Pelodiscus sinensis: one gene and its partner. The protein of the gene in region 1 interacts with the protein of each later gene in a pairwise test. Links are inferred from orthologs where the notes say so. Each region holds a gene or a part of one and is shown on either strand. Other genes may lie near its edges.

The links.
Region 2: the proteins of MLX (region 1) and MXD4 interact in a two-hybrid assay, tested with the Homo sapiens proteins (2 studies listed by BioGRID). The link is inferred for Pelodiscus sinensis from reciprocal best matches to the Homo sapiens genes MLX and MXD4.

The regions. Positions count from the first base shown.
Region 1 is NC_134739.1:8,863,095-8,878,724, forward strand, and holds the start of MLX (max-like protein X), read right to left. Parts: upstream 7,245-15,630; 5' UTR 7,170-7,244; coding exon 7,125-7,169; intron 6,785-7,124; coding exon 6,748-6,784; intron 5,987-6,747; coding exon 5,897-5,986; intron 5,095-5,896; coding exon 4,988-5,094; intron 4,837-4,987; coding exon 4,737-4,836; intron 4,109-4,736; coding exon 4,009-4,108; intron 3,487-4,008; coding exon 3,285-3,486; intron 2,203-3,284; coding exon 2,146-2,202; 3' UTR 1-2,145. Other genes in the region: coenzyme Q-binding protein COQ10 homolog B, mitochondrial-like, read right to left, coding at 11,992-12,159, 12,405-12,506, 13,150-13,342, 13,584-13,736, 14,376-14,461. UniProt on the Homo sapiens protein: Transcription regulator. Forms a sequence-specific DNA-binding protein complex with MAD1, MAD4, MNT, WBSCR14 and MLXIP which recognizes the core sequence 5'-CACGTG-3'. The TCFL4-MAD1, TCFL4-MAD4, TCFL4-WBSCR14 complexes are transcriptional repressors.
Region 2 is NC_134715.1:117,916,919-117,933,320, forward strand, and holds the start of MXD4 (max dimerization protein 4), read left to right. Parts: upstream 1-8,531; 5' UTR 8,532-8,593; coding exon 8,594-8,735; intron 8,736-8,773; exon of another isoform or gene 8,774-8,887; coding exon of another isoform or gene 8,888-8,950; intron 8,951-9,181; coding exon of another isoform or gene 9,182-9,248; coding exon 9,249-9,348; intron 9,349-16,402. UniProt on the Homo sapiens protein: Transcriptional repressor. Binds with MAX to form a sequence-specific DNA-binding protein complex which recognizes the core sequence 5'-CAC[GA]TG-3'.

The DNA of each region.
Region 1 (15,630 bases):
GGGGAATGTGCAGATAGAGAGGGTTGTTCCAATACAGCTGCCATAACACTAACTAAGGAGTCAAATTGGGCAACCAGACATCACCAATCCCTTCTGAAAAATTGGCCCTGGACTCATCAGCTGATAGCAACCCAGTGATTCTGTGTCAGCAGTAAACAAACTGGAGAGGAGACACTTTTACAATGCTTAGCAAAAATTTATTATAATTACTTTCCAAGATAGAAAAATATTTCCTTTCCCCCTGAGTGAGGTCTGTAAAAAGCAATGCCCTTGGAGAAATGCACATGCCACTTATTAGTAAACAGCACAGGCTTTTGCTTCTGCAAACAGGGTGCTTTCCTGACAGCCAAGCAACCTCTTACAAGAGTTCTGTGTCTGAGCTTGAACTGCCTGAGCAGTAGCTGCCCCTGGTGTGTGCAGTTCACTTCAGCGTTAGACATGTTGCTGCAAATAAATGCTTGGACTTCCTGGGGGCTGTCTGCTGCATTTGCACTGACTGAGGTGCTCTGTGGAAGTGTTTTCTTTTATAAAATCCAAGACCAACAGGAACATTTCCTTGGTTACATGGAAAACGTCAGTTAAAACTTTATGCCTCAGCGTTTGAAAGGCAAACAGCCAGCACTAAGAAACGACCACCGAAGGAAATGCACAACAGCCACTCTCACTGGATTTTTAGAGGTGTGGGCACATAATTGGAAATGAACAAATAATGTAGTAAGAGATTCACTTTGGTGGAGTAATTCCAATAGCGTCACCTTGTCTGAGTAGTAAAAAGCCATTGCTGCTTTAGCGGACAGCTGCCTGTTGCTGTTAAGATTTCTGGGGTGCTAAAGAAAGAATCAGGGTGTAGCTGGTTTAAATTGTCCCAGACAAGCAGCTGTCTGCAAAATGTAAACTGATAGCAGGTTAGTGTGATTTTTTTTTTCAATTCATTACAAAAATCAAGGCTTTATTATATATAAAACTATATAGTTCTAAACAAGAGGAGACGTCTAATTAGTCTGTGCTACACTATTCTACTTTCCCAGACAGTATGACTTCATTGTAAGTGCCAAGTAATATAAAGCCCGACAGATCAGCCTCTGTGCCGATAAAGCTAGAGAAGCCTGTAAAGAAAGCTGCATTCATCTGCAATTGTTTAGGACCCGGGGCAAGAGTCAGGCCAAGGCAGCAGCTGGCTCAAGCCAAGGCCAAAGCTATTGTCATCTGTGCGAGAGTCCCTTTGACACTGTTCCTCACCTCTCCATGTGGCAGTGATGGGCCTGCTTCCTTGGCATGCCTTTTTGAAAGTCATTCTGCACCAGGGAAACAAGCAGCCGTCGGTCCCTAGGCAGGACGAGGTGATTGGGACACACCAGAATCACTAGTCCCGAACCCGTCTCATCGGTAACTAGAACCAGCTGCTTCAGAGACAGGTTCAAGAAATCCTGCAAGGGTGGGAAACCTGTCCAAGGGACACTTCTTCCTAAGCCCCGTTGGTAGAGGTCAGTGTGTAGCCTGGTGCAGGAGGGTTTATAGCTCAGCCAGAGCTCTTTAATAGGGTGGGGGAAGAGAGGTCTCCCTGCCTGTTGCTGGGCCACAGTCCCTGCTGCCATTCACAGCCCCATGGGGTGATGCAATGTCAGCAAGTGCATAGCCTGAAACCAGCCGTGTTCAGCAGCTCCCAGCCAGGCTCTGTGGTTTCCAGGCCCTGCATCCTCACAGGCAGTAGTCAGACTGCAGGCCATTCCCCTCTCCCTCTGCCCAGAGCAGGCCAGGCAGCAAAGTGCTGAGCACCCGCCACCACTGTAGGGAGTCAGGCGCAGGAAAGGCCTAGTTGCTGCTGTGCCAGTTTGGTGAGACCCTCCCCCTCCTTCCTTCTCGGCAATAAGAAGTGTATTTAATCCACATTTAAATTCCCTTCTCTGCCGAGTCCCTACGGACCCTCTGGTGCTACAGACTGCGACAGGGTCTGTGGAGAGGTATGTACAGCCTAGTTTTGGTTTTGGCCAATACAATAAATAATCCAGAGAGAAGCTTTAAGAACAACCACAAGGGAAATAGACCAGCTATTCCTGGAGCCTGTTTCCCAGTTGGGCCGTGCTCTGCAGCTGTCTGGGTGAAGGACACAGGCCCAGGCTGCTGGGACCCGGGCAGGAACAACAGTCAGTAGAGCTGATTCTTCAGCTGATGCAGAACCCCCAGCACGATGTCGCGCAGAGTCTGAGAAGGAGGAGAAGGAGGAGGCAGGATCAGTCACCCCGCGAGACAGACGAACATTTGCCTTGGCAATGCCTCAGCGGCTTCCAGCGCAGACCCAGGAACTCCTTACAGAGCGGGAAAAGTGAATAGAAAGGCAGCTGGGTACCCACTGCCCCACCCAAGCACAGGTAGGTTTAATCGCAACATACCTAGGGGAGGTACCGTATTACTGGGAGTATGGGACCTACCAGCTTGGATCAGAGGAAGGACTCAGCCTGGTCAGTTTCCTGTCAGACTGTAGCAGAATCAGCTGCTTTAGAGGAAAAAAGCTTAGTGCAAGCAGGTGTGGTACAGAGGGTCCCTGCTATAAGTCGCCCCGGTATACATCTGTTCCACACTAAAGTTGCTGATGTTTGTAGAAACTGATGCATTATAAGTCATGCGAAACACTCCCCCCAGTTTGCTTAAACGGAAGTCAGCCGTGGGGAAAAAATTACGTGCTTTAAGTTAGTGATAGATATGTAGCCTTGTTAGTCTGGTGTGGCTGAAACAAAAAGCTTTAAGTTGTTTCGCTATAAGTCCAAGTTTTTTGGAATGTATCTTGGACTTCTAGCAAGGGCCCCCTGTATACCCACTTGCCTCTCAGGGTATGTCTATGCAGTGCCACGTAGCTCAAAATAAGCTATGCAATTCGAGCTACGCAAATTGCATAGCTTATTTTGAAAGAGTCTATTTATTTAATTTCGAAATAGACCATTATTCCAACAAGTCCCTTAATCCTCATGGAACAAGGTTCACCGGGATGTCGGAATAGCAAGCCCGTTATTTCGGGATACCGGACATATCCCGAAATAGCACCGCTGTCTAGACGTACCCTTAGGGAAGGTTTCTGTCCTATCAAAGCTTGCTTTAGCTGGAGAACAAGAGCCCCTGTAAAAACTCAAAAACCATCAAATAGTCCTGCAGCACCCTGGAGACTAGCTAAGTGCCGAAGGGTATCTCTACGCAGAAAAGAACCTCACCGCAATGAATTTCAGAGCTAGGGGCAAGTCCCATGAAGGTGCTTGCCCCATGTCATGCACTGTACGGCTCCTAGAGCTTACCTGTGGCTTACAATGCTCCTCAATCCAGCTGAAGACACACGCGGAAAGTTCCTGAAAACTTGCTACCGAGATGGAGGCATTAAAGGACTGGAACAGTGAATCCATAATGCCTTGGAAAACATTAAACTTGACTTGGTCAGAGACCTGGTCTTTCCCCTCATTCGGATTATCCTGATGAGCTTTCACAATCTGCTCATAGTTTCTGAAACAGACCAAAGAAACCTGGGTAAAATGGCAGGCCAGGGAAGCTAGTTCTGGCCTGAGACACTCTCCAAAGATCTGTTTGAGGTGAAAGAGACTCAGGGACGTGCTGCAGTGTTTGTGGAAGGGCCTTAACTGTGCTTGTTAGGACTGAAGGTAGCGCTCTTGCTGGTTGTAGGGTTAAGTTAGCAGGCTCTGGGCTTTAAGTTCCTTGAGGGGAATAAATACAGGGAAATTGTGGCCTCCCTTCTGTGTTGGAGAGGACACCCAGGAGCAGGCTGGGTCTCCTTGTTCAGAGTCGGTACAGCCCTACGGACAGTCCCTGGGCTTAAGCCATGTCCCCACGCGCTGTACTGGGATCTGCGTCAAGCCCAGATTCACAAAAGAGCCAGGTAGTAACCAGCTCTAGGATGGAATGACACGGAACAGGTGGAGGGGGGAGATGAGCACTTACAGCATGTGCTGCAGTATGCAAATGTACCCATCTCCCGGGGTGGGGTGGGGGTGTGAAACTGTTCCTTACACTTTCATGATCTTCAAAGCTGTGACATCTTTCCTGAGGGTAGAAACGTCCTCCTCCTGCTTCTTCTTCTCCTTGTGGAGGAACTGAATGTAGTCAATGGCTGCAGGGGAGGAGAGGGGAGGGGAGAATTTTAGAATAGATCAGTGATGTCACTCTGCAGGGGGCAGGAGGACGGTGGGGCCTCTGCAGGATTGATGCATGGCTGTCGATTTCTTCCCTGCAGACCTCATGCATCCAAACTGACCAGGAGGCAGTCTCCCAACTCCTCTCCTGAGAGTCCCAATGCGTCATACCCCAGCTCCAAGGAGAGGGGAGCCAGGTGCTCTAGATCATATGCTGGGAAGAGTCCCAGACTCCTAAGCCCTAGACCCAGTCTTCCTGCCTCAACCCAAGTGATTTCAATGCCTGTGAGCAGCAAGGAGGGGCTGACAGGTGGGTGTGTGGGGGTTGAACTAGGTAGCTAGTGCTTCACCCTGCAACACTGTGCCTCCTTTGCCTTGCTAGGCTGATTGCACCAGTGTTACTCAGCCTCAGCAGGAGATCAGGGGAGCAGTAACCTGCAGAGCTGAGTAGGGAGGAAGCAGACAGCTCAGTGAGGCCTGACACAAGATGCCTATTAGTTTGGTTTTGAGTGTCTGCAGGGAAGGTTTTACAGCCTGGGGGGGCTCTCCACATTGAACCCCCATGAACAGAGGGTGGCCAGTGCCCCACTCCCCCTCCGGACTCACTCTTCTGCAGGACGATGGCTTTGCTCAGTTTCTGGGAGCCGATGGAGAAGTCCTGCTGCTGGCACGTGGGGACAATGGCCTGCAAGTCGTCGTAGCCTTTCTGTGGAGGAGCAGAGCAGAAGTGACAAGGTGTTGTGGATTCAACAGCAGCGGATGATTAGAGCTGGCTGAGTCAGTGTTTAACAAGGTGTAAATCTACAGCTCCCACGGGTTCATCTGAACCCCTACAGCATCCTGAACGCCTGGGTTACCTTGATGGCATCTCGTCTCTTCTGCTCAGCCTGAGTGTGGGCACGTCTGCGCCGGTCCTTGTAGGACTCTTTGTAGGTTTCCTGGCGATAATCGCTGTCTTCATCATCTGCAGCAGAAGAATGGGCACCGCTGGCTCGGGGGCACGTGGCAGCTCCCAGAGCCCAGGAAGCAGACACAAAAACTGCTGAGGCCACACAGACACCAGGCAGTGTCTGCGCTGGGGAGCATTTCAACTGTGCCAGAGGGCTGGACTAGCTCCACACAGCTTTTCCAAAAGGAGGGGGCCAAACACAGTAAAGATCCACCTGTCTAAGGACATCTCTGCTAGCAACAGTCCACAGTGTGTGAGCAGCTGGGGTAATTCATTATAGGGAAGGCTGATACTGGATACCACCTGCTTCTCCCGCAGACCCCAGGGCTGGGTCCTGGCTTGTCTAGGCAAGATTCTTACTAGCAGGGCTCTGCTGCATTGGAGTCTGCCCCAGGAATTTCAAGGCACTGGGTGTCTAAGCAGAGATCCCTTCCATAGAGAGACCAGCTTTTCAGCACTTCCTGGAAATGAGGCCTCTAAGGTGTCTCAGCCTGAGCATCCATCACCACTCGGCATTTGAAATTCTTGGCAAAGAAGTTTCGTCAGCCCCTCGCTCCAGCTCTCCTCTGTTCTCCATGGTCAGGGGAGTCCCATCAAACTGCCCTGCAGCAAGCCACGATGCCCTCCCTGGGCTTCCCTACCATTCTCCCTAGCCAAGGACAAGATGTCTGCACTAGCTGGCAGAGGAAGCTCCTGCAATCACGGTCTCGTACAGAACAACTCCTAAGGAGACCGAGACTGAACAGGAATATGAGTGAGAGAGTGGGAAAAGCCCCTATTGTGTGAGACGCTGCTGGAACATGGAGAAGGACCATACCTGTATTGGGGACCGAGGAGGCACTGGTGGAGCCAATGCTGTTGGCTCGGGATACTATGCTTCCTTTCCTAGTGCTTTCCACAAAGAATGCTGAAAGAGAAAACACCGTAGCATATTTTCCTACATCATGCAAGAGGAGGTAAGTGTCACTAAACCTGAGACACTGTAAACTGGACACAGAAGGGATCAACTTTACAAGGCAAATTACAGGGTAACTAGCTCCCAGACAGAGTGCAGATAGATGCAATGAATGCTGAAATGCCACTGGGACCCGACGTGAAACCTTGCTGTGCTTGAATTGGTTAACTCTAATATCCTTTGCACTGCAGTTTCCCCAAAATAAATTTCAGGAGACATGAGAAGGGCTCCACAAACCTCTTACTGATGGAGCACAAAATACAATGATGATTTTATCTGTGCTGCTTTTCCAAGGAGCAGATATGTCTTGCTTTAAAGAGAGAGTGCAGATTTGGACCAAATTCAACTAGACTGTACTTCTCCTAGTAGCCTAAACTAGAGCAGCAGTACTCAAACGTTTTGGGCTGCGGAGCCCTTTACATGTGTAAAAAGTTATGTGGAGCCCTAGCAGTCCACTGATTGTGTGTGTGTTGAACTTATGCAGAGCCCCAGCCGTCCACTGATTGTAGGGGTTGCACCTCTCCATGTTTCCAGTTTGTCAACCTCGCGGCGCCCCTGGAGATAGCTGGGGGAGCCCTGGGGCTCTGTGGAGCACAGTTTGAGAAACGATGAACTAGAGCCAAGGACAGAAACGACTCCAGCTCCCTGGCCCATTGAGGCAGCTGTGGCCTGATGGGAGTGTGGGAGAAGGGGACACGGGGGGATCTACTCACAGGCATCCAACCCGCTGTCGCTGTAGGCAGACTCCACCTGGGGCGGGGCGGGGTGAGCGAATTGCAGCAGGAGAGAGAGAGACACAAACCAGGCAGTGAGCGAGCCGTTTCCTCTTTCGGGCACGTGCCTTTTTGCGCAACAAGCCATTATCCCACCACGTGACAGCACGTTGGGGTCCCATGGGGGTCGCCCCCCCCCCCCCGGCCCTGTGGTCACCCCCCCAGCTGATTCATTCCGTGACCTCTGACCCCCTCCGTGGGGGGACCCCTCCGCCTCCGTGAGTGGGGGGCGGGGCCGGGCAGCGCCGCCCTCTCCCGGGGAGACGGGGCCTCGCGGTGTGTCCCGCGCCGGCCGCCGTCCCGCCCTGGGGACTCACCTTCCCCCAGGGGTCCTCGGGCGAGGTGCTCGCCTGCTCCGCCATCTTCCCCAGGGCTCGGTCATGTGACCACCGGGCGGCAGCCAATCGCAGCGCTCGCCCCCCGGCGGGGACAGGGGGATCCGGGAGACGCCTCCCGCGGGGGCTGACGGGAGCTGTAGTTCCACCGCGCGGGGTGACGGCGGCCGAACCCAGGGTTCTGCGCCACCAGGGGGCGCCGTGACACTGAGGATTCTAAGCCGGGCCGCGAGCCACGTGGCGTGGGGGGGGGAGGAGGGAACCACGTGTCAATGCTGCGAGGGGCGGGACTCTGACCTCACATGACCCCAGCCCCTGCCCTGAGGCTGACCTTTGACTCAGGAGACCCCATTTCCGATCTAGGGCCCTAGGGCTGGGTCCTTGGCCTCGTGTGACCCCCACGCGGTGCCCTCTCCTTGACCTCTTGCCGTGGGGCAGGCCCTGCAGCCACCGCCTACCTACTTCCTGTCTGTGGGCCTCCCCCCAGCTACCCAGCCCCATGGGACCCTGGGAAGGGGGGCTCCCGCCTTGGCCGGGAACTGCCCCTTCCTCTGAGGAGGCCTCAGCCCCTGGAGCAGGGCATGGGGCTGGGCTCCTGGGGGCAGGGAGCACTGTCCCGCCCTGCTGTGATGTGTGCACTCTTGGGGCTGGGCAGCGCTGCTCACCGAGGGGGGGGCTTTGAGCCACTCAGGTGATGGGGCGGGAGGCAGCTGCCTCAAGGAGGTGGCTGGCGCTGTCCCTGCACGAATTTCTTTTGGGACATTCCCAGCTGATCCCTGCAACGGGGCCCTGGCAGCACTTGCTGCAGCAGGCTCAGTGTTTGCTCTGTCGCTCCTGCCACCGTCAGTGGCCTCCTGCTGGCTGCGTGGGCCTCCCCAAGGACCCTGCAGCCTGGGCTTCCTCCTAGCAGGAAACGAGCTTCCCAGGACACTGCAGGGGCTGAGGCTGTCTCACTCCCAGCGCCAGCAGGAAGAGCCAGCCCCTGGGGCCCGACAGAGCTGGGTACAAAGGAATCAGAGACATGACTGGATGCCGGGGGAGAGGGGAGGTGTCCTCCCAGGGCAGCACAAAGCAGAAAGGGCCAGTGGAGCAGGCGGGGCAGGGAATGGGCATCCCAGTCATGTCTCTGATTCCTTTGTACCCAGCTCTGTCGGGCCCTTGCCTGCAGCCCATGAGTGCTCTACAGCCCTGAGACAGAGCCTGCCCCAGCACTGCCAGCTGGGTGCCGTGAGCACACGGAAGTGACATGCAAACGTCACACCTGCCCTGACGCAAGTGAGGCCCTGCCTCTGCCCCTGCCTCGGCAGCACCACCAGGGCCCCAGGCTGGCAGCAGCCCAAGGTGTGTGATGAGCATAGCCCCAGGGCTCAGCTCTCATGCTGCCTGCATGCCACACACCTCACCCCACCTGCCCAGGAAACCCCCCCAGCTAGGCCTAAGCCCCAGGGAAAATCACCACGATTCCTCCCCTGTGCAAGGCACTTGCTGGCCCCCAGTACTGAGCTGCAGTAGCAATGGGCTTCGCCTTCCCCCCACCCTGTGGGGACACACAGCACCTGGGGCGCAGGGTGGATGAGGTGACTTGCCGCAGGTCGTGGAGACATGCTGTGTCAGAGTCAGGAATGGCCAGCCAGGGCTGCTGATGCCCTTCACCACTAGGAACCGGGCCACCCATCTCCCTGGGAGTCGCCCAGCCTGGCAGCCTGTCCCAGCAGCTGCCGCTGGCACAGAATGCACCTCGCCACTTGACCATTTCTGCACCTGGTGTGACCAGCCAGTGCTCCAAAGCAGGACAGGCCACAGTCTGCCTTGGCCAGCTCCCTCCTCCTCCCCCCCACGCGGTGTCAGCCCATCCCCTCCTCCCCCCCGCAGCCCAGGACCCATGCGCTGCAATTGGGCAGTGGGACGCACACCCTGGGGCACAGGCCATGTTGACTCAGTCAGATGGGGCTGGAGAACCTGCCTCTTCCATTGCATCAGTGGGAGTCTCTGCCAAAGCAGGCAGGCAGGTCCCTTCCCATCCCCCTGCAAGGGCAGCCTCCCTGGAGACGCACCCCCAGGCTAGTGCACCACGGAACCCCCCCCCCCCCCCCAAGCACACACGGAGCCCTGCTTCCTACGCAGCCCCACTGCCCACTGCAGCCCCCGGGCGAGGCACGCTGGGCAGGGTGCTGCTAGCTGGGCACCCCTCTCCCACTGGGGGAGGCTGCCCCTGCTCCAAGCTTTGAGCAGAGAACACGGGAGCCACGTGGCCACCGCCCTGAGCCCCTGGGCCCAACCTCGACTCGGCGTGTGACCCTCCAGCAGCCACCAGTGCCCCGGGAGTGCCACAGAGCAGCGACACTTCCCTAGGGCACCCCTGGCTCCCCTCCCTGCCCCCTCACCAGAACATGCCCCCTTAGCCTACATCCCAACACGACGTCACATTCTCCAGCCTATGCCAGGGGCCGTTGATTCCTGCTGCTGGCGTAATCGGCCCCGAGATAACAGCCACCTTCTGTCCCCGGCCTGGCCCTTCTGACGCTGGTTGCCCGGCTCGCACAAAGTCCACTGCTGACGTGCCCCTGCCCCCCCCCCCCCAACTTGGCTGCGGCCCAAGGGGACTCAAAGGGCACACGGCACAGTCCTGCTGCACTGAGCCAGGCCTGAGATGCCAAGCGCAGCCAGCACAAGCTCGCGCGTCCCCTGAGGGGTGCGAAGGGAACAGCCCTGGGGGGCCGCACTGACCCATTCCTATAGGCTGCTACCTGGCCAGGAGTCGCCCCCAGGCCCTGCGTGGCTCGGTGCTGCACAGACAGACCCATCTCAGGCAGCGGGATGAGAGATTTGTGCAGGGGACACTCCAGACCCAGGCAGGCTCCTGGGAGTCTCTCTGGAGGATGCCGGATGCCTGGAGCCACCTCCTCTGACTCCCAGCTGCTCACAGGCCCCGGTCCCCAGCCCTGGTACCACAGGGCACCTGCAGTGAGGGTCTCCCACCCCGAGGTGCCTGCCTGGCACTGGGGGATTTTGAGGGCTCAGCACCCAAGCCAGGGGAAACGCTGCAGGCAGGGCCGGGCTGGGGGACCCCCTCCCCCCAGCCTCCTTCAGAACCTTGTCTGGATCTCCCGGCGCCAATAGCCTGCGCAGCACCAGGATCTGGGAGGGGGAGGGGCAAGGACCATTCCTGGGGCCACGAAGCCCCTGGCCTGGCCCAGCATGTCCCTCTGGCTGGGCCCTTCCAGGGCACCGCGTAGGGGCTGTTTACGAGAGCAGCTGTGATGCAGAGCTGGGGGAGAGCGCCAGGAACCCGGGTCTTCCCGCCTGCAAAGCCGTGCCCCTCGCGGCACAGAGAAAACATTCTGTGCTCTCCTCCTGCCCCAGCGCCCGGCGCCCCTCCCCAGAGCCACAAGCCAGGGGAATTGCTGCAGGCAGGGCCGGGCTGGGGGCTGCCCCCCAGCCTCCTTCAGAACCTTGCCCGGATCTTCCTGCTCCAATAGCCTGTGCAGCAGCGATCGGTGGGGCTGCCCAACCCTCCCCTCCCCTTCCCTTCGCATGGTTTGGGCAGCTGCCTACCCAGCCCCTACCCAGGGGAGGCCAAAGAGCTCAGCAGGGTGGGATGGGCGGGCTGTGGTAACCCCCTGCACCCCAGTTGAACAGCCTGGGCCATGCCCACAGGTTGCAGTTCGGCCAATTGGTTCTGTTGGGGATCTAGTTCATTGGGGGATGCTAACGGGGAAGGAAGGAGCAGGCAGCTCCCAGGGGGTTCTGGCACCGACTGGCTTCAGCTCTGTGAAGCTGGAGGGGGCAGCGGCTCCTTTGCCACCTTCCTGCGGGAAGGGCAAGTCCTGGAACCTGAGCACCAGCCCAGAGGCTGCCAGGAGGCCCTGGGCCCAGAGATGGAATGGCAGACCCGCCGGATCCCCTGCGCAGACACCCAATTGGCAAGTGGCAGGTGCCAGCCTATGGAGGGACTGGAGCTTCATCAGTCTGAGAAGCTGCCCCTGGGACTCAGCCCCTTCCCACTAGGCATTGCAGCCACACTCCCCAGCACCAGCGTGGGGCCCTTCGACCAGCAGCACCGATGCAGTCCAGGGGACTTTGCATTCAGCAGAAGGGGGCCGGGAAGACTCAAAATGGGGGGATGGGCCCTTCACCTTCACACTGACGCGCTGGGATGCAAGCGGGGCAGCTGCCAGCACTCACAACCCCCCGCCTAGCCGCACCGGGCAAAGCCTGTGTCACACCAGATCACAGGCAAGTTCCCTGCCAGGGGAGGGCTAGTCATGGTTTCACGGCTGGATGCCTCACATGAGGTGCCTCCAAACTGTTACCCCCCCCCTCCAAGAGTGGTCGTGCGTGGCCGTGAAATGGGCAGGAAGCTGGGCTCCACACTGGATTCCCCCCTTCCTGCTCCCAAGGCATTTCCTGTTTGCTCAGTGCACCGAGACATCCCGGTGACTTCACTTCCCAGACGCGGGGGGAGGAGGCTGCCGAGAAGCGATCCAGAAGCCAAGGCTGGCGGGTGAGGAAATGTTCGGAACGACAAAGCTTCATTGCACATTTTATTGAGGTCACATGAAAACCAGAACATTTAAAAAAAAACCAAGACACAGAGCCTCTTAATACTGGATATAGCAGCAGGCCCAGAGATCAGGCCAAGGGCATTAAATAGAACCAAAAAAGGATTAAAAAAAATAATTTCTCTCCAGGGCGCGTGGTTAAATAGACATAAATAGACCCAGGGATGGGGCGGGGATGGGGGGGGCGTCCAGCCAAAAATCTGGACAGAATGAAACGAAGACAAAGTCTTCTGCTGTGCTCCCAGGAGGGTCCCACTGTGGCAGGAGAAGCTGCGCTGGAGGCGGCGTCACATGCAGCGGGCTGCCCGCACACGCTTCTGGGGCCGCCGGGCCGCCTGCGGGCCGTACGTCTTCTCGGCCCACCTCTCAAAGGCTGCCACCATCTGCTTCACCACCTCATTGAAGAACAGCTGGGCCAGGTGGGAATGCAGGATGGACTTGAACTCAAAGGAGACCTGTGGGGGGGGGGACACAGAGCTTAGCAGAGCCAGGGGGTGCGTGGCCAGGCAATTACGCACACGCCTGGGGACCAGGGCAGGACTTGCCAGCAAGATGGGGGGGGGGGGGGGGGCTGGCCTGTCTGAAGCATTCATCGACCCCGCATGTGACCTGCCTTGAGCGACCGCTCTGTGCAGGGGCCTCTTCCACCCCACGCCCGGCCCAGCCTGCCTCGGGGACAGGCCCGGAGGGGAATACTCACATAGAACTCTAAAGTGCAGGTGTCCGGCTGCCCTGGCAGCCCCGGGCCAAAGCTCCAGACGGTCTCCAGGTGGCGGAAGAGGTGGCCGTCATTGCACACAGCCTGCGGGAGGAAAGGCGGCTCGCGTCAAGTTTCAGCTGAGCGGAGAGGCGGGAAAGTCAATGCCCCCCCAGCCACATCCCCGCGGAGAGCCCGGGAGCCATAGACACAGGGCCTGCGGCGGCCAGGAAGAACCAGGCTTCCTGTTCGCGTCTGAGCAAACCTTTGCACAAGTCAGTGAATGTGGAAACAGCTGCACAGGCTGTGCGGTCACCCGCCAACCCCCATCCCTCGAGTGGCTGCCGGCTCGCTTGGGCACAAGCTCCCTATCCGGCAGCTGCCCCGAACGCCGACGTCAGCGCATCCCCAGCCCTGATCTGCCAGGAACTGGACCCAGGACAGTTCGGCGCTGGGTGCCACCCAGGTTTGGCTTGGCTCCTTGGAGCCCAGCTGTTCCCTCAGCAGGAGGGATGGGGTGTTGGGGGCTGCCTCTCACACAGCAACTTTTTGAGAGGGGAGCAGCCGGGATCAAAGCCATAAGAACAGGAGGTCTGTCTGGGAACCACAGTAGCCCGTTCCAAGACCAGCCTCTGTGCCCCTGCTTGACACGCTTCGGGCCAGTGATCAGAGGTGCCGAGCACCTGCAGCGAGTTGTGAGTGCTCAGCTCCTCCCAGCTAAGCCCCAGGCTCCCTGGCGGCCCCTTACCCGGATCTGGTGCTGGGGAGTCAGGGAGATCTCAGAGATGTAGCGCTCCACGAAGGGCGCGAAGCCGACCTCCAGCTCGGCCCGCGTCAGCCCTTGGCGGCAGGACAGGACCTTGGAGCTGCTGCACCACGGCACGAAGTGCTGGTAGCTCTCCACGTCGGCCACCACGTTGTACATCTGCTCCGTGGAGTAGCTGGGGGGGGAGAGACAAGCCGCCCGTGAGCAGGGGCCGGGGTGACAGGAGGCCGGCAGGAGCTCACGTTTCACAGGGTAGCGGGCAGAATCCTTGGCCAGGAGTTTATCAGGCCCGGGAACCCACCTGCACCCCACCCCCTCCCCTGGGTAACAAGCCCCAGCCCCCTCCAGAGGCAATTCCAACTCCCACCCCCTCGGCCAGGTTCCTGCAGCCCCCCCCCTCGGAGCCACACACTCACCCCAGGACTCGCATCTCCGAATACTCCATCCGCTTGCTGCCCAGCTGCGCAGCCGCCAGGTTCAGGAAGCTCCGCGCAGGCAGCACCAAGGCCGGGGTGACGGGAGGTCGCTTGGGGACTTGCAGAGCCAGGAGCCCACAGGAACTTAAATGCCTGAAACACAGGAGGCCGGTTCCAAGGGGTGAGCGACAGGGCACATCCCGGGGGGCAGCCCAGCCTCGTGGGTGTGGGCGGGGAACACCCCCGGGTAGCGCAGCCCTCGATCCCCCCGTGGGTCCAGCTTTCCTCTCAGCCCCAGCGCACTCCAATCCACGCGCACCCCAATCTCCCAAGACTGATCCCCGGCAGCACTTGGGGGGTGCCCCCGATCTCCCAACACTGACCCCCGGCAGCACTTGGGGGGTGCCCCCCGATCTCCCAATGACCCCCGGCAGCACTTGGGGGGCGCCCCCGATCTCCCAATGAGCCCCGGCAGCACTTGGGGGGCGCCCCCGATCTCCCAATAGTGACCCCGTCAGGACTCGGGGGGCGCCCCCCACTCTCCCAACACTGACCCCCGACAGCACTTGGGGGGCGCCCCCGATCTCCCAATGAGCCCCGGCAGCACTTGGGGGGCGCCCCCACTCTCCCAATAGTGACCCCGGCAGGACTCGGGGGGCGCCCCCCACTCTCCCAACACTGACCCCCGACAGCACTTGGGGGGCGCCCCCACTCTCCCAACACTGACCCCACCAGCTGGGGCAGGACCCGCGGGCCCGGGGCCCGGCTCAGCTCCCTAGGTCCGGCCCTTACCCAGTCCCGTCCCCGCGGCGCGGGCGGCCCCCGGCTCCCCGCAGCGCCCGCAGGAGCGCGGCTCCCCCGCGGCTGCTCCCGGCCATGGCTCTGGGCTCTGCCGGCCGGGAAGCCCCGGCCCCGGCATCGGCACCCGCGGGGGTGGCCCCGCCACGTGCCCAGTGACACCGTGGGAAACTCCCCTGGGGCGGGGCCGTGGCAAGGGAGGGCTCCGCCCCTTCGGGCAGGAGAGCCCGGGGACCCTGGGCGAGGGGGGGTCTGGGGTCCCAGGCGGTTGGGGGGTCTCTGGAGGGGTGTACATGGGGGTCTGTGGCCCAGGACAGCTGGGGGGGTCTCTGGAGGGGTGTACATGGGGGCCTGGGGCCCAGGACAGCTGGGGGGGTCTCTGGAGGGGTGTACATGGGGGTCTGTGGCCCAGGACAGCTGGGGGGGGTCTCTGGAGGGGTGTACATGGGGGTCTGTGGCCCAGGACAGCTGGGGGGTCTCTGGAGGGGTGTACATGGGGGCCTGGGGCCCAGGACAGCTGGGGGGGTCTCTGGAGGGGTGTACATGGGGGTCTGTGGCCCAGGACAGCTGGGGGGGTCTCTGGAGGGGTGTACATGGGGGCCTGGGGCCCAGGACAGCTGGGGGGTCTCTGGAGGGGTGTACATGGGGGCCTGGGGCCCAGGACAGCTGGGGGGGGGTCTCTGGAGGGGTGTACATGGGGGCCTGGGGCCCAGGACTGCTGGGGGGGTCTCTAGAGGGGTGTACATGGGGGCCTGGGGCCCAGGACAGCTGGGGGGGGGTCTCTGGAGGGGTGTTCATGGGGGCCTGGGGCCCAGGACAGCTGGGGGGGGGGTCTCTGGAGGGGTGTACATGGGGGCCTGGGGCCCAGGACAGCTGGGGGGGGGGTCTCTGGAGGGGTGTACATGGGGGCCTGGGGCCCAGGACTGCTGGGGTGGGTCTCTGGAGGGGTGTACATGGGGGTCTGGGGTCCCAGGCGGTTGGGGGGGTCTCTGGAGGGGTGTACATGGGGGCCTGGGGCCCAGGACAGCTGGGGGGGGGGTCTCTGGAGGGGTGTACATGGGGGCCTGGGGCCCAGGACTGCTGGGGGAGTCTCTAGAGGGGTGTACATGGGGGCCTGGGGCCCAGGACAGCTGGGGGGGGTCTCTGGAGGGGTGTTCATGGGGGCCTGGGGCCCAGGACAGCTGGGGGGGGTCTCTGGAGGGGTGTACATGGGGGTCTGGGGTCCCAGGCGGTTGGGGGGGGGTCTCTG
Region 2 (16,402 bases), on another chromosome or scaffold:
TAGTTATTGCAAAAATATACATACACAATGGGGCTGATTCTCAGCCGCTCTAAGTCCCTGTCTCTTTGCTCTGGCAACGTAAAGGAGCCTGACATTATACTTAGAGGGGACTTTAAAGTGGGTATAAGTGTGATTTAAGTCCCCTTTTCAATGCTGAAGGAGACCATAGAACAACAGAGAATCAGGCCCGATTGCCATAACACAGGTTCCTGTAATAGTATGGCTTAGTAGTTAGAGCATCTGTGAGGGCTCAGGAACCTAGGTTCTAATCCTGACACTACAGTGTGAACCTGGGGCAAGTCTCTGTACCTCAGTTCTATCTGTGGAATGGGGATAATGATACTGGTTTCTCATGTAAAGTGCTTTCAGGTCTACAAAGAAGTAGGCATTGTTCCTAAACCTTCTCTGACAGCAATGAGAGTGATCGGGGCTCTGGTACTTAAATATTTTAAGTACTAATATTTTCAGGTTAAATTTTCAAGTGTAAAATTATCAAAAGCACTTTATAGACATTAATTTAGTCCCACACCAGCCCTGTGCAGTAGGTAATTGTTGTTCCTATTATAGAGAAGGGGAACACAAAGACTAGAGATCTACACATGACTTGAGCAGGCCAAACATCAAGTCAGTGGCAGAGCTACCCAAGTGCATGCAGTAAGCTAGCCTCATACTATCAGATGCACAGCCCACTGAAGGCAGTGGAAAGGTTCACACTGACCTGAATGCGTATTGATTCAGGCGTGTAGGACTAGATCCTGCATCATAAACATTAATGGAAGTTTTTCCATTCATTTAAATAAGAGAACCATAATGAGGATTAGAATTCATGTCTGTGTGTGTGTAAAACTTTTATACAGGGAAAGCTCATCAGGTAAGCTCCCTTTATCAATGGGAGAGAGAGATGCACGCTGGTTGCTCTCCCCCACCATAATTATTTACAGTAGGCCTGATAGTAAACAAGTGTTTAAGTGATTGCAAATGAAGACAGATCAATGTAAGTTACTTAATTTAAACAAATAGAAGATACATAGCTAGTTCTAATACATGAAGAAACTTGTTATATGCAAATTCTTACCTTAAACAGTTTATTTCAGGTATAAGCTTCAAACCAGAGACAAGCTCTTACTGTGACACGCGTAAAAAAAATGACACGCGTAAAAAAAAATAGAGCCAGCAGATTGTAGATTACATGAGATTATTTAAAGCATCTTTGAGTTATGCATATTCATTTTCACAAGCCAAATTTTATAAAACATCAGGGCAGGGAAAGGGCTATTCACATTAACTCCAAGTCCTGCACCTGGCTGACTCACCCTAGAAAGCCCCAGAGGCCTATGGTTTTGAAAGTGGCCGTTAATTTGGGGTTGCCAAACCTGAGACACTTTGGGCCTGATTTCTGAAGGCAGTGAATTGAATAGGAGCTGTGGGTGCTCAGCATCTCTGTATATCAGACCAAGCATGTCTCAATTTTGGCACTTAAAATCAGTCACCACTGTTGTTTTCCTTAACCTCTCTGTGTCTTAGTTTTACAGATGAGCAAACCAACGTAGTAACTTGTACCGTAAGTAACATGTGAAATTAAATGTCAGATATCTGACCACATACAGGGAGAAAATTGTCCTTCCATCCCTGTAGGCAGACTCCTTTTCCTGTGTGGAGAGAGACCTGTATTCTTTATTGGAGAATTACAATACCTTAACAATACCTCAAACCAAAAACCCCAGAGGGACTGCCCCAAAGTCACAGCAAAGCTCAGGTATTGACATGGGGAAATGCCAGGGAAAGAAAACAAAAATAGATAAATAGCATCTAGCTACAACGAGACACATCCTGAAACTACGGCAAAGGACAGAGTACAAAAGGATGCAGGTAGTGAACTATGAATAAAAGTGTTCCAGAGTTAGAAACCTTACCTCTACAGTCCTTGAAAGGTTTTAACTCAGGATTGTAAGTAGTACCAACCATACTCTTTCAAATGCTGTATCAGGACATAAGGCAAATAAAGATCCCTTCAGAATGGGGCTATGTTATTTAAGACTTTAAATACTACCAATAAGACTATGAATCATACTGGATAGAAAAGAGGCAGCCAGAGCTACTTTCTGCTTCTACATAAAAAGTCGCTTAAATTTTGCCCTAAACGATAGCTCCATCACTATAGACCAGCTGCTTCTTAAGCCCTTGTCATTCCTGTTGCCAGTGCATAGAACAGAAGTTGAAGATGGAAAAGCAGTATGTAAGGGCCCCAATATAGGAAAGGTTTTAAGTACATGTTTCTTTTTCTGTATATGACTAAGTCATTGGGTCTGATTCTTCTGAGATGTATATCAATTTTATGCCTGTGCATCTCCACTACTTGAGTGGAGCTACAACAAGGGAAGCATCACACCTATAACATTTATATTATTGTCTTGCATCTTACAAAAATATAAATGTGGTGAAAGGTTTATCAGTATTCATGTGGGAGGACCTGAACATTCATGACTGCACTGATCATGAGTAACATGTGGTTGCCAAAATGATTCTGATGAAATCTTTAGTCCACACAAAATCAACATGACTTCCATGTGTACATGCACACCCATGCTCATAACTTGCTTAAGCAAAATCATGTATTCTGCATTTCCTAGGATAGTATGTGTAAAAAATATTTAGGAATCCCCTTTATATGCTAAATGCAGTTGATAAAGGTAATTTAGCCATGTATAGAAATCATCTGCTTTTTGTCATTGTGGTGGCATATGTGCTCCTCATCACAGGTGGGAGCCTCTTCCTGAGTGGGATGCTACCTGATTGGCCACAAGGTAGCTAGCCATTTCTACAGTTCACGAAATAATCAGTCTCCAGGGAACCCCGAGCCCACACATGACCTTGTCCCCCAGATCGTGTCACCTAATGGCCTAAGTCAGTAAGAAGCCCTCTAGTCCAGGGAACATGGCACACTGGCTAGGGTTGATAATGTTGGGGCTAACATCCTGGTAGGGGAACCTGGGTCCACCCTACTCCACCAGGTCTCGACCCAGGGTCCTGTGAGCAGCAGCACTGCCTACCACTCCCCCGGCAGGGAATCTGGCAGAAACACACCAAGGCTGTGTCTATACTGCACCCCTTTTCCGGAAAAGGGATGCAGATTAGACACATCTGAATAGCAAAATCCACGGGGGATTTAAATATCCCCCGCGGCATTTGCATTTACATGGCTGCCGCTTTTTTCCGGCTTGGGGATAAGCCGGAGAAAAGCGCCAGTCTAGACGTGATTCTCCGGAAAATAAGCCCTTTTCCAGAGGATCTCTTATTCCTACTTTCAAGCCGGAAAAAAGCGGCAGCCATGTAAATGCAAATGCCGCGGGGGATATTTAAAGGGTAAATTTGGAGTAACGGGCCCTGGGGAGGAAGAACATAAAACAATGCTCAATTATCTTAAAACAACTAACTTCAGCAAGAACCTGATTCTGTGGCAGCCCCATGAGTTCAACGGCAGAAGTATCCGTGTGGCTCAGGCTATGAGTGGTAAGTCTTTGAGCAATTCTATGTCCCCACCAATCAATGGACCATATTTGCTGCAGCATGGTATTAGTGGAGTCATTTACACCTGTTCAAAGCTGGTGTAAAATGCTACCAAATCAGAATTATAGGGCAGCCTGACTGCTTCTCATGTTGTCACCACTTACACCTATATAGAATGGTGGTCAAATGCGGTATCTCCATTTCAGTAGCATTTTATAGTTATTTTACACTGGTGGTATATCTGGTGACACAGTATACACCAACTAAAGAACTGGGCCTACTGTCTTTGCATATTTAGCATAAATGAATCCTGGAAAGAGATTTAACATCTCAGTTTATCTGAATGGCTTTTTTTAAAAAAATAAAAATAAAAACAGGCAGCTTATAATTTATTTGCCATCTCTTTTTTGTTGCACTGATAAGCCTCAAGACAGTTAAGACCAAAGCAGATTGTGAAGAGATTCAAAAAGTTCTCAACAAACTAAGTGATTGGGCAACAAAATAGCAAATGAAATTTAATGTTGAGAAATGTAAAGTAATGCACAATGGAAAAATAACCCCAACTACACATACAATATGATGGGGACTATTTTAGCTAGAACTACTCAAGGGAGAGATCTTGGCGTCATTGTGGATAAATCTCTGAAAACATCCACTCAGTGTGCAGTGCAGTCCAAAAAGCAAACAGAATGTTAGGAATCATTAAAAAAGGGATAGAGAATAAAACAGAATATTTTATTGCCTCTATATAAAATCATGGTACACCCACATCATGAATACTGCACAGATGTGGTCACCTCATCTCAAAAAAGATATATTGGCATTGGAAAAGGTTCAGCAAAGGGCAACAAAAATGATTAGGGGTTTGAAGTAAGGATGTTAAGTAATGGTTAATTTACTAGTCAATAGGCACTTCTGCATTCCTCCTTTGAAATGTACAAGAGCCCCTACTGGGAACTCCGCATGCACCCCGGGCCAGTGGGAAGTCCCGCTGCCTCTGGGCTGCATGCGGGTTCCAGCTTTGAAATGTACAAAGAGCACAGGCTCTTGTATGTTTCAAAAGAGGAATGCAGAAGTGGACAGCACTTCACCACTGAGCTGGGGATCAGCTGTGCTGGCACTGCCCCTTTGAAAGCCGCCTCGGCATTTCAAAGGGGCAGCACTGCACAGCTGATCCCCGGCTTAGCTGTGCGACACTGTTCCTTTCAAATGCCGAGGCAGTGTTTCAAAGGGACAGTGCTACACTGCTGAGCAGGGGATCAGCTGTGCAGCACTGCCCCTTCGAACACCACCTCAGTGTTTCAAAGCAGCAGTGCCACACAGCTGATCCTGGGCTCAGCTATGTGGCGCTGCCACTTTGAAGTACCACCTCTTTCCCCCTCTTTGCTGCCTCCAGCTGATAGAGGCAGCTGGGGAGGGGGAGGAAATCAACTAGTAGACTAGTCCTTAACATCCCTAGTTTAGAGTGGTCCCATATGAAGAGGGATTAAAAAGACTTGGATTTTTCAGTTTAGAAAAGAGGAGACTAAGGGAGGATATGATAGAGGTCTATAAAATCTTGACTGGTGTGGAAAATATGAATAAGGAAAAGTTATTTACTTGTATCCAGAATATAAGAACTAGGAATCACTAAATGAAATTAATAAGCAGCAGGTTTAAAACAAACAAAAGGAGGTTTTTCTTCACCCAGCACACAGTCAACCTGTGGAACTCCTTGCCAGAGGATGTGGTGAAGGCTAGGACTTTAACAGGGTTCAAAAAAGAGCTAGATAGATTCATGGAGGTTAGGTCCATCAATGGCTATAAGCCAGTATGGGGAGGAATGGTGTCCCTAGTCTCTGTTTGTCTGGAAATGGATGACAGAGGAGGGATCACTTGATGATTACCTGTTATGTTCCCTCCCTCTGGGCAGGGGCGGATATACGGCAGGGCGAACGGGGCGGCCGCCCCGGGCCCCGCACTTCAGAAAGCCCCGCGCATGCGCCGTGGCACCGCTGCGCATGCGCATGGCGTCACTGCGCATGCACCGTGGCAAAGGGGGGGCCCCGTGGAAGTATGCTGCCCGGGGCCCCGCAAAACCGTCATCTGCCCCTGCCTCTGGGAGTGGCATTGGCCACTCTTGGCAGACAGAATACTGGGCTACATGAACCAATATGGCCGTTCTATGTTTTTATGTTCTCTTTTGCCGTAAGGTAAACAAGACGGGCCATGTCTACCACCTTTTCTTACACTAAATAGTTCTTAATCATTCATATAGTTTTACTGAAGTCAATAGACTACTCATATAAATACTTTTCAACAAATGCAGAATTTGGCCTTGTTTGACTGAAGAAGTGATGAAATCAAATCATGGTCTGTTTTAAAAAAATTGTTTATATGTCCTGCTTTTGTTAAAGTGAATGAATTCTGCACTAAGAGCTATATAGACAGGCCCCTGCACCTGAGAAAAGCCATTTCTCCATATGGAGTCCAGCTGATTTATGGGATTCTGCATGAGCCAACATCTTTCCCAGGATACCTTGCAGCACAAAATTGTGCCTACAGAGATCTCAGTGCAGCATCAGAGCCTACCTGAAGATAAGGGAAGGAAAGTACCACTAACTTAATGTTTATTAATGTACTTTTCCCCCTTTGTGCTCCTTCACGTTAGCTAACAAGTTATGTGATGTACCATATTCAGATCCACAAATGGACAGAAACAATAGGTAATGAGGCCCTAGTCTATCCATGACAGGTTACTTTTCAGATGCATGTTCCTTAATTCCTTCAAAAAAGAATTAGACTGAAAAAAATCTGCAATATTTAAATCTAAAATGAAAATTATCTGTTTTTCTATACATCCTAAAATGCTTTTGGCCGAGGAAGAACTTTTGATATAGGCAGGCTATTCTCTAAGGCTATGTCTACATTGTACGCTTATTTTGAAATAACTCATGTTATTTTGAAATAACAGAGTGTGCGTCTAAACAGCGAGCCTGTTATTTTGAAATAATTTGAAATAATTTAAAAATAACAGGCTTCTTACTCCGACTTCTGTAACTCTCATTTTATGAGGAGTAAGGGAAGTCAAAAGAAAGTGTTCTTCCCTCGACTTCCTGCTGTGTAGACAGTGCCAAAAATCGAGTTAAGGTACTTCGACTTCACTTATGCAATTAACGTAGCTGAAGTTGCGTATCTTAACTTGACTTTGGACCCTAACTGCCTACTGCAGGGTTTCTTGCACCTTCCTCTGAAGCAGCTGGTACTGGCTTCTGTCAGAGACAAATTGCACCAACCAGATCACTGGTATTCTATCTTCCTCAAAGGATGGGGGGAGGGAAGGAGTACTTCTGTAGTCAGCCTGCCAAAGAAAGTGTGTTAAAACCGTCTAACCCACCCCTAGCCTTTGCAGGGAGATGGCAGAAAGGCCATTTGCCTCCTGTGTACTGGAGGCCTGTCTGGTTGCAGTGCATAAAATATACATTATGCCTAAACCATGCACTGTTAAGAAAATGCCTACTGTCATCCTAAGCAGAAGCAGGATGGAGCATCAGTTGCGTAAATAAATTGCAAACTCATGTTTCCCCGTAAACTGCTCCACAGTACTGGTTTCTTTTTTTGGTAAACTAGATAAGTACAAAATGCTACAAGCACAGTATAAAGCATCCTGGGTGGTTAGAATGCATGTACTCTTGCTACTGCTCAGCTTTTACTTGCTACAGGATGTTTTTACTTTCCATTTAGCAACACCCCTATGACAGCAACAGCCATCCAGTCATGGGCTGGCTACAGATGTGTATTTTATATAATGGTAAAACAGTTCTCAAAATATATTTGCTTATTATGTGCATATCAATTATTATTTACTGCTGTATCTGTTATTAAATCTGAAAAGCCCATTGGGATGAAAGATGCTATAAAATAGTTTATAACCTGAAGAGTTTGGACAAAGTATAACCAACAGAACAAAGCCTATTTGATTTATTGGAGTAAGCATCCACTCTGAAAAACAGTGGGTTGTTTTCACATGTGGATGCCACTAAAAGGCTTTCAACTTTGAAATTGGGACTCTGTGGACTCATAAATTCAGATTTCATCAGGATTGGTTCAGATCTTTCTGGAGCACAGAGATGGGTGGGTTTTTGGGGTGAGACTTTTAAAACAGTTCTGTGTCTTCTGTGAGAACACTTAAATCAAATCCAGAATATCTGAAGTTGGTCACCCAAAAATCAAAGCACCAAACTGGAACAGTTTTGGCTTGAAGAGCCTATGGTCCTTTATTGTAAGAGCAGGAAATTTACCCTGGTAAGGTAAAAGCAAAACCTCCTTTGCCAGATGCATTTGCCTTACTTGCTGCAGCCCTTCCACCCAGAGGTGGCTGCATTTGGTGCTGCTATACTACATAGTTTAGGTACTTTATCATCTTTTGTCAGGCAAAGTTATCTCTATATAACATTCCCTGCATGGTGGATTCATTTTCTTTTTTAGGTCATGCATCTGATTACAGCTAGGGAAGGAAAGAAAGGGACCGTAGAGCTTCTATTCGAGCACTCTAGTGTTTATCCCCAGTCCCTAACTGAACTGCAGCCCGATCTTCTCTTCCTCACAGCAACACAATAAATCCACCAGCAGTACGGGTAGATGGACCCCTCCTCCTTCACTTTCCTGAGCGCCTCCCCTTTCACTTGCTTGAAACAGGACACACCTCTCCAAAACTGTTGGCTAGTTTCAGCTGCTTATTTGCATAGACTCCTCATCTCCAATCAGCAATTGCTGCCTATTTAATATGCATAAAGCCGGCCACTCAGTAGGCTGGGGGCCGGGCCACCACGTGCTGTTGCTAAGCTTCGGCTTCTAAATTGTTACTGTAGTGGCTGGCCTATCAGGGAGAAGATTCAGATCTGTCAACATTCTGTTTCCAAACCTGAGGGAGCTTGTTTTTCCTGATTGGTTCTACTTTGGAGCTAAAGCCCGCCTCTTTTTAGACATGCCGTCCATGATTGGCTATGTCAATCGCCTGTCGCCTGTGTGTCAAATGTAGGTTGAGAGAGGTGGTTTATATAGGGGACTTGGAAGTCCCCAGCCTGTGAACTCAGTGCAGTTTCTGATGCTTATTGCCTTCCTCAGCTGTTTGAAAGGCAGACAATCAGATACAGAGTTTGATAACTCAAAGAACACATATAAAATGGAGCTGAACTCTCTGTTAATTCTTCTGGAAGCAGCTGAGTATTTGGAAAGAAGAGACAGAGGTATTCAGAAAAAATGACTAGCAGGCACTTATAACATTTAACTCTCTTTGTTGCGTGGGTATTCGGACGCCCTTTTCTCCGAGTCCACATTTCCTTCACCTGCACAAGTGCCCTATGTTTTTGTTAGATGCACTGCAGAGGGGGCAGAACAAATGCAGTTTTCTTGCAATTTTTTTAAACAAACAAGCTATGGCTCGAATCGGTTTGGATTGTATGTATGTTGAAGTTTTCATATATGTTACATTGTTGTGTGTTGCCGTTTGCGATTGTATTGCAGTTTTCCCCTTTCCCTTGTCAAAATGTTTCAAGATTTGCATGATCTAGCCATGTTTTACTGTTTACTTAGATGATCCTCCTATTTTGGCACTTTTCGTTTTGTTGTGTTTCTTTTAAAAATCCGGAATAAAAGCTAAACAAATCAACCAACATTTTGTTTTTTACCCTAGCGTTCCTGCAAAGGAGGAAAAAATGCATGGAAAAATATATTGCCACTAATGCTGACTTTGTCCCTAGAAGCAGAACATGGCTATGCATCAGTGTTACCCTTCGATAGTGACTATTCCAGAAAGAAAACAAAGGCAGGCACCCTGGCCAGAAAATCCCAGAATAACAGGTAAAAGCTGTACCATCGTTTTCTACAGTGAATTAGCAACTTTTCCTATATGTGTAAGTTTATGTGCAGCTCATAGATGTATACAAATAATAACTAATCCTGTCGCTTAGTTCCCAGTAGTCGCCATTTTTCCCCTGTATGGGCTTGGCTCTGTTTTGATCTCTCATATAAACACTGCCACGCGTACACCATCGCCTTAGCACTCACTGCCTTTCTGAACCATCTGCACTCACGCGTCTTCGCCTGGTTTGTTTATGAATGTGCGCTGTTTTCCCATGCATTTTAAAATAATAATCAAAATCCTGACTTCCCTTGCATGACACTAATTCCCTCCCAGGACTTATTTACAATCTCTTTATTGCTGCGAGAGCAAATACAGCCTCCAGTTGCAGTGTAACGCCGGGATCTTGATGAGGGGAGAGTGGGGGGAAAGGGATGAAAACGTGGCTCCAATTATACTGGGACTTTTGTATGCATTTTAAAATGTTTCGAATGAACTTGACCTCTGCGGACGGTCTGAGGCATTTTTGCCCTGGTCAGTGCAGCAGCTGCCTGAGCGAGTCGCTCCGCATGCAGCATTATTACAATGCATAGTTACATTATGATCAGCTGCTTTTTGTTTGTTTGTTTGTTTCTTGCAGCCACTACCTGTGCTGTGATCACCATTAGCTCAAGGTTTCTGCGCAGCCTCCCTGCAGCTTTGTTTGGCTGACCAGGCAGTGCTCAGAGTGCAACTGTCTACGTGCAGAAGGCTGTCTTAAAGAGACAGCGCCTCCTCTTTACGTGGGAATTCCTTCTTTTCTTGCACTTTATGTTCTTGAGGGGGGAGGAGACCAGATGGTTCCCTCCTTCTGCAGACCATTGGTGCTCTCTGCTCTTAACAAAATGACTCCTTAAAAAAATTGTTGTTGAATATGATGAGCCCTGCAGAATAGCCTAAAACAAACAAAACTTGCATATGACATTTTTCAAATGAAAGGAAAGTTGGCAAAATTCTTTGATCTCACTTACTCCAGCGTAAATGCTGCAGAACCCCAGTGTAGTCAGTGAGATTGCTCTGGATTTACACTGGTGAAATGGGAAAGTAGAAATCGGCCCAGTCATGGATATTAAAGTTTGAAGATATGAACTAAGCAAAAAGCAAACAGCTTGCTCAGAAAAATACAAGATCACAATGAGCTGTGTTTGCAGTAACCACTGCAGGGAAATGTGCTTGAACACGATTGAGGGGAATAGAAGGTGTAAATCCTTCCCCTGGCCATCCCTGACTCCAAATAGCGATGAATGCTGATATTTCTGGGAATATACATTCAGGAGTGGGGGGAAGTAATAGTAAAATTGGTTACAAAGATACAATATCAGTTGATTTTTAAATGTGAATTACCAGGAATCACAGAGGTGCCTAGATTTTGAGACACTGTTCATCTATATACATGTTACCTCTGAATTTTTTGATAAAGTAACCATATTGTGCAAAAGCAGTTATTTAAACAGGATTCTAGGGTTTCAATTCTAATTCTAGAGTTTGTGGATTTGCTCCAATCCTTGTTTCTTGTACGGAAGAGAGAGAAATCTGTATTACTTGGGGAACCTTCATTCCATCATTTCCTTTCTTGGGTTTCTTGCTGTCCACAGCAAAACAGTTCTTTGAATTTTTAGCAGAGGATATATAATCTATCAATTTCAGCAGAATTAAAAGATTCCTTGTTAGAGGTTTGACGGGCTTATCAAAGCCAGAGCACACATCATTACTGACGGATTGTCTGATATTTCTCCTAATATTTTTTTCACTCTAATGCTTGCCACGCACACACAAACGCTTTTAAAAAAATGCATAATGATCTTTTTATTGTTTTATTACCAGCTTTATTTGTTACAGACTAAAAAGGGCTCATTCATAGTGTGTGTGGGATAGGGCAATACCTCTGGAGAAGTAGGTTCAGCCGTGGCTAAGGCCACAAATTCAGTCTCCATGTTTAGTTCACCGTGGATATTTGTCCACATCCTAAAGAAAACAGCAATCTCTATAGACAGTCTCTATAACACAGACCGACCCATGGCTGGAAATAGCAGGTTGTTGCGATACGGGGTTGAGGTGCATTGGCAGAGGTGTTTGAGCAGTCCTACATTGTGCTTGCCTACAACATGCCTGTTTTTATCTGTTACTTAAGCTCGTAGGTTCAGATGCAGCTTTATTTCAAATGTATGATCCCAAATTCAAATAGTACCACCTCTCTTATTCATTTTGGGAGCATAGGCGCTGGTGCTAGGGGTGCTCAGAGTCTGCTGAACCTCTTGGCTTGAAGTGGTTTCCATTAGATACAGGGTTTACAGTTTGGTTCAATGACTTGTAGCACTATCCAAATTGTTCCAGCACCCTTGTTTGGGAGCAAATGTCAGGTTATTCGGTTGTCAGGTCACAGCCTCAGAGTGCATAGAATTTGAATGTATTGTTCAATTTGATCATGCAATCAAATCTTTATAAGCAGTTCAAGGGATTAAGAAGGGGCTAGACAACTGGCCAGATTTCGGACGATCCTGAGTGGAAAAGAATAAAATTAACTAGTCAGGCAACCCTTTTTTGGCTGGTTTATTTTAATCACTTTACAGAATCTCAATGCATGGATAGGTGCAGGCATGATTGGGTGTGAATATCTGGAGGGCCATCTCTTTGTGCTCTGGAGTTGTTTTTTTAAAAGGTGGGGGGAGGGCGACTGCATATTGCAAAATTGCAGAATGTTATTTTTTCAGTAACTTGGTTATTTCTAAATCCTATTTCTTCTAGAAGTCTCAGCAGGTTTGAAAATTAACCTTTGCCTATATCATTTGAGCACAAATAAAACACATAAACAATTGTTTTTAAAGCTTGAAAAGCATCTCTTTCATGCAAGGATAACTCCAAAGTGGGTCACAGAATTGTATTGAATTTAAAAAATTAAATTAGCCTCTGGACTGAGAACAAGCATGAGAAATTTCAATTCAAATCTCTCCTCATACTTAAAAAAAAAATAACAGGCAATTGGACACAGGTTCATATAGGGAAAAAAATGTTTCTTCAGCCACAGCTGTGACTATTAACAAAAGTCAGCTCACTGAAAGAGTTCATATTTTGTATATTTTTGTTTGTTGATGTTTTTGTTTAAAATATCACTCGGTGAGTTTTAATTTTATGTTGCTATAGAAAACATTTTCATGTTACTGTGAAGACAGCAGAAAATGTTGCTTGATGACATTTTTGCCCCATCTCTGTATAAGAAATATTAGTTTTTAATAGATTGATGTATACATTTCCTTATGATGTCCAGTCCGTTGCCCTTGAATCAGGCTATATTTATATGTTCCCACTTTATACAAAACAGACTTGAAAGGGTTTTTTAAGAAAAACTTCTTTGTGTCTATGGCATTCTCTCCTAAGGTTCAGAAGTGTTTCCCCCAGATGCTTATTATGAAAATTCCTTAGTAGATTAAACTGGATTTTTGGTTTCCAGTCTGAATGGATGATTCGAAAAAGGTGCAAGTTTGTAATTGATTTTTTCTGGGGGAGGGAAGATAAACCCATGTCAGCGTCTCTTGTAATGGTGATAACTAGACATTATTTGGCCATTGTGTAGTAAATGTCTCCTTTGGATAGAGTAATAATAGTAGTTCCTAAAAGCAATACAGTGGAGCTTGTTAAAATTATTGCTAATACACAATTGGAATAAAATCAGGCTAGAAAAAATTCAGTTAGTAGAGTTGTGCCTTGGAGGTTGCAATGTTAAATTTTCAAATGTCTTTCCATGTAGTACAGTGAGTATAATAAAATGGATGTATTACAGATGTCTGCAGTTTGTTAAGAGGGAATATTTCACAGAAGCAGAAAGTCAAAGAAGTTCAGAAGATTACTTGGTTGCAGAAAGTCATTTGTAAATAGGAATTCACTGTAGCTTGCAGATAATTGGAGCTTTCTTGTTTTGTTTCCTGTTTGTGATGCCGACTTAACAGAGATAAGCCTATGCATTTTTGTGTTTATATAAGGGGGAAAACCGGTAGCCTGAACTGACCCCCTTGTGGACAGTGGCCCACAGCACAGTACAGTTAGACAAGCCTGATTCTCCATTGCCTGGTACTTTGTGCAGTCTCTTATCACTGAACAGTGGGTGTAAAACACTATAATTTATCTTCGCATGAGTGTAAAAGACCACAAAGCAGCAGACGATCAGGCCCAGTGTGTGTTCTGGCCAATGAAAAGATAAGAAGTAAGTAAATATGCAGAATAAAACCTTAGTGCTCGATCCCTGACTATTGGGGCACAGTTAGATTTACTGGCAGAGCAGGAAACTGGAAGTCTGTGAAGTAGCCTGCTTGGCCTATTAATTTAGAAGCCGATGAAAAAGAGGGGAAAATGAAAGCAAAACTTAGATTTATAAATATCCCCACTGCCTTGATTGAAACTAATCAGTATTTATATTTGATATTTTATATCAATGGATATAGTTGTGAACAATGTACTGTGCTCTGGTGAAGGATATATGTGCAAAAGGATGTGGTGGGTCAAAACTGCACGTTTCAAATGAAAATATTGTTTAATGTCTCCATTGCTTGTCTGTCACTGCAAACCAGTCTGATTTCTGTCTGACACTGCTCTTTGCAGACTAGAAGTGTGTGAATTGTTCAGCTAAAATTCTTTCAGCCAAAAAATGCAGATTTGGGTCAAATGAAACCTTTTGTGAATTTGTATTGACTTTGTGGTGAATTGTTTGGTTGCATTGGAAAAAAAGGGGGAAAAACCCTTCAGAAATGTCAAAAGCAATCGTTTTGACATTTCTGAAGTGTCTCATTTTGATTTTTTCAGGCGAGGTTCATACACCAGAAATAGTGATGGTGTCCCTCTTATAACCATTAGCTTAGTACATAGGGAAGTAACCTGGGATGACTGTAGAGTCCTACTGTCTCTGGCCAATGGCTATTAAAGTACAGATTGTACCTCTAAAATCTGGGATTCTCTGGTCCGGCAACATCCATGGTCCGGCACGCTTCAGGGGAGTGAAGACCCGGAAGCTGGTGGCTCATTTGGGCTGCAAGGTGAGAGCCAGGAGCCGGCCTGCAGCTCAGTTGGGCTGCTGGAGTTGGCGTGCAGCTCAGCGGGGCTGTGGAGGAGTGCCAGGAGCCGGCCTGCAACTCAGTTGGGCTTCAGGAGTTGGCTTGCAGCTCAGCGGGGCTGCGGGGGAGTGCCAGGAGCCAGCATGTGGCTCAGCTGGGCTGGGAAGGTGTGGGAGCTGGCGTGTGGTTCAGCTGGGCTGTGGGGAAAACCAGGAAGTGGGGAGAGGAAGCGGGGAGAGGCCCCTGAAATGACCACCCCGATCTGGAAAAATCCCTCATCTGGGACTAGTCAGGTCCTGAAGGTGCCAGATCAGGGATGTCTAACCTGTGTTTCATATAAAATGGCACAGCTCCAGTGCAGATGGACCTCTAGATCCAGAAGGAGTATTTTAGAGTTTGGGACTTATTTTCTTTCATTTATTAAATGACAGTCTGAGAATAAAATAACTCAAAATCCAGACTGCGGAAAAACAATGATGTGTTTTGCACTCTCTGAACTAAGTGTATCCTTCTTGTTTATTTTTTTCCCCTAGGAAAGTGAGTCCTGAAGGAAAATTATCTATATTACTGAACGTATAAAGCAAATAATGCTAGTCATTCTTCTGCTCTACTCTGCGCTGATTAGGCCTCAATTGGAGTATTGTGTCCAGTTCTGGGCATCACATTTCAAGAAAGATGTGAAGAAATTGGAGAAGATCTAGAGAAGAGCAACAAGAATGATTAAAGATCTAGAGAACATGAGCTATGGGGGAAGACTGACAGAACTGGGCTTGTTTAGTTTTGGAAAGGAGAAGACTGAGAGGGGACATGACAGCAGTTTTCAGGTATCTAAAAAGGTGTCACAAGGAGGAGGGAGAAAAATAGTTCTCCTTAGCCTCTGAGGATAGGACAAGAAGCCATGGACAAGGGAGGTTTAGGTTGGACATCAGGAAAAATTTCCTGTCAGGGTGGTTAAATGCTGGAGTAAGTTTCCTAGAGAGGTTGTGGAATCTCCATCTCTGGAGATATTTAAGAGCAGGTTAGATAGATATCTATCAGGGATGGTCTAGACAGTACTGGGTCCTGCCGCGAGGGCAGGGGACTGGACTCAATGACCTCTCAAGGTCCCTTCCAGTTCTAGTGTTCTATGATTCTAGTGCTGCATTAATCAAATACATCTTGTAAGTTGAGGAAGTTTCTTATGAGGAAGTATAGTATGTATGACAGCAGCAGTCATTATGTGTTTTGTTTAAGTCACCTAATGACATGCAATGTCAGACCTCGCTCTTACATACAGATATGTCATACAAACTCTACAGTCTCACTAGAGTCAGAGTTCTGCATACAGGACTGCGCCAATGCATCCATTTGTGGAATCCTAGCCTTTTTCCATAATATTGGCAAAATTCTGCTTTGAGGTGGAACTAAAAGAGAAATAGTTTTAAGAGTTATGATGTGATAATTAAAGAAAAAAAAAGGAGGGGAGCAGTCAGACTCAAAGAATGCAGATCTGAGGTTGTGTTTTAACCACTCAAATATCAGGTAATCCAAAGTTCATCCCGGGTCTTGCAATGTGCCCAGCTGCAGATTGGTATGCTGGCACCAAACTCTAATAAAGCCAATTGAGACCTTAAAGTTGAAAATGTATTCTCCTTCTCTCTGTATGTCTATTACATTGTGTAACTCCAGCACATGCTGGTCATCAGCAGGCAGAATTGAACCTGTGTCCTCTGGAGCATAGTACATGAGCCTCTACCACCCTGGTGTCTAACCAGTTCTGTGCTATAGTGAACTAGCCACACTCAACTGGCTAAAAAGTTGCATGTGGCTAGTGTGTTGGATTCCACGGCTCTGCCACATGTGTCTACTACCAGAGGCTGGAGAGCAGACTGCTTATTCTGTCTCTGTAAATGGTTTCAGTGCCACTATATGGGACAGTACACCACACCCAGGAGGTGTGTGGGTTACAATTGCAGACTCTTATTAGATGATC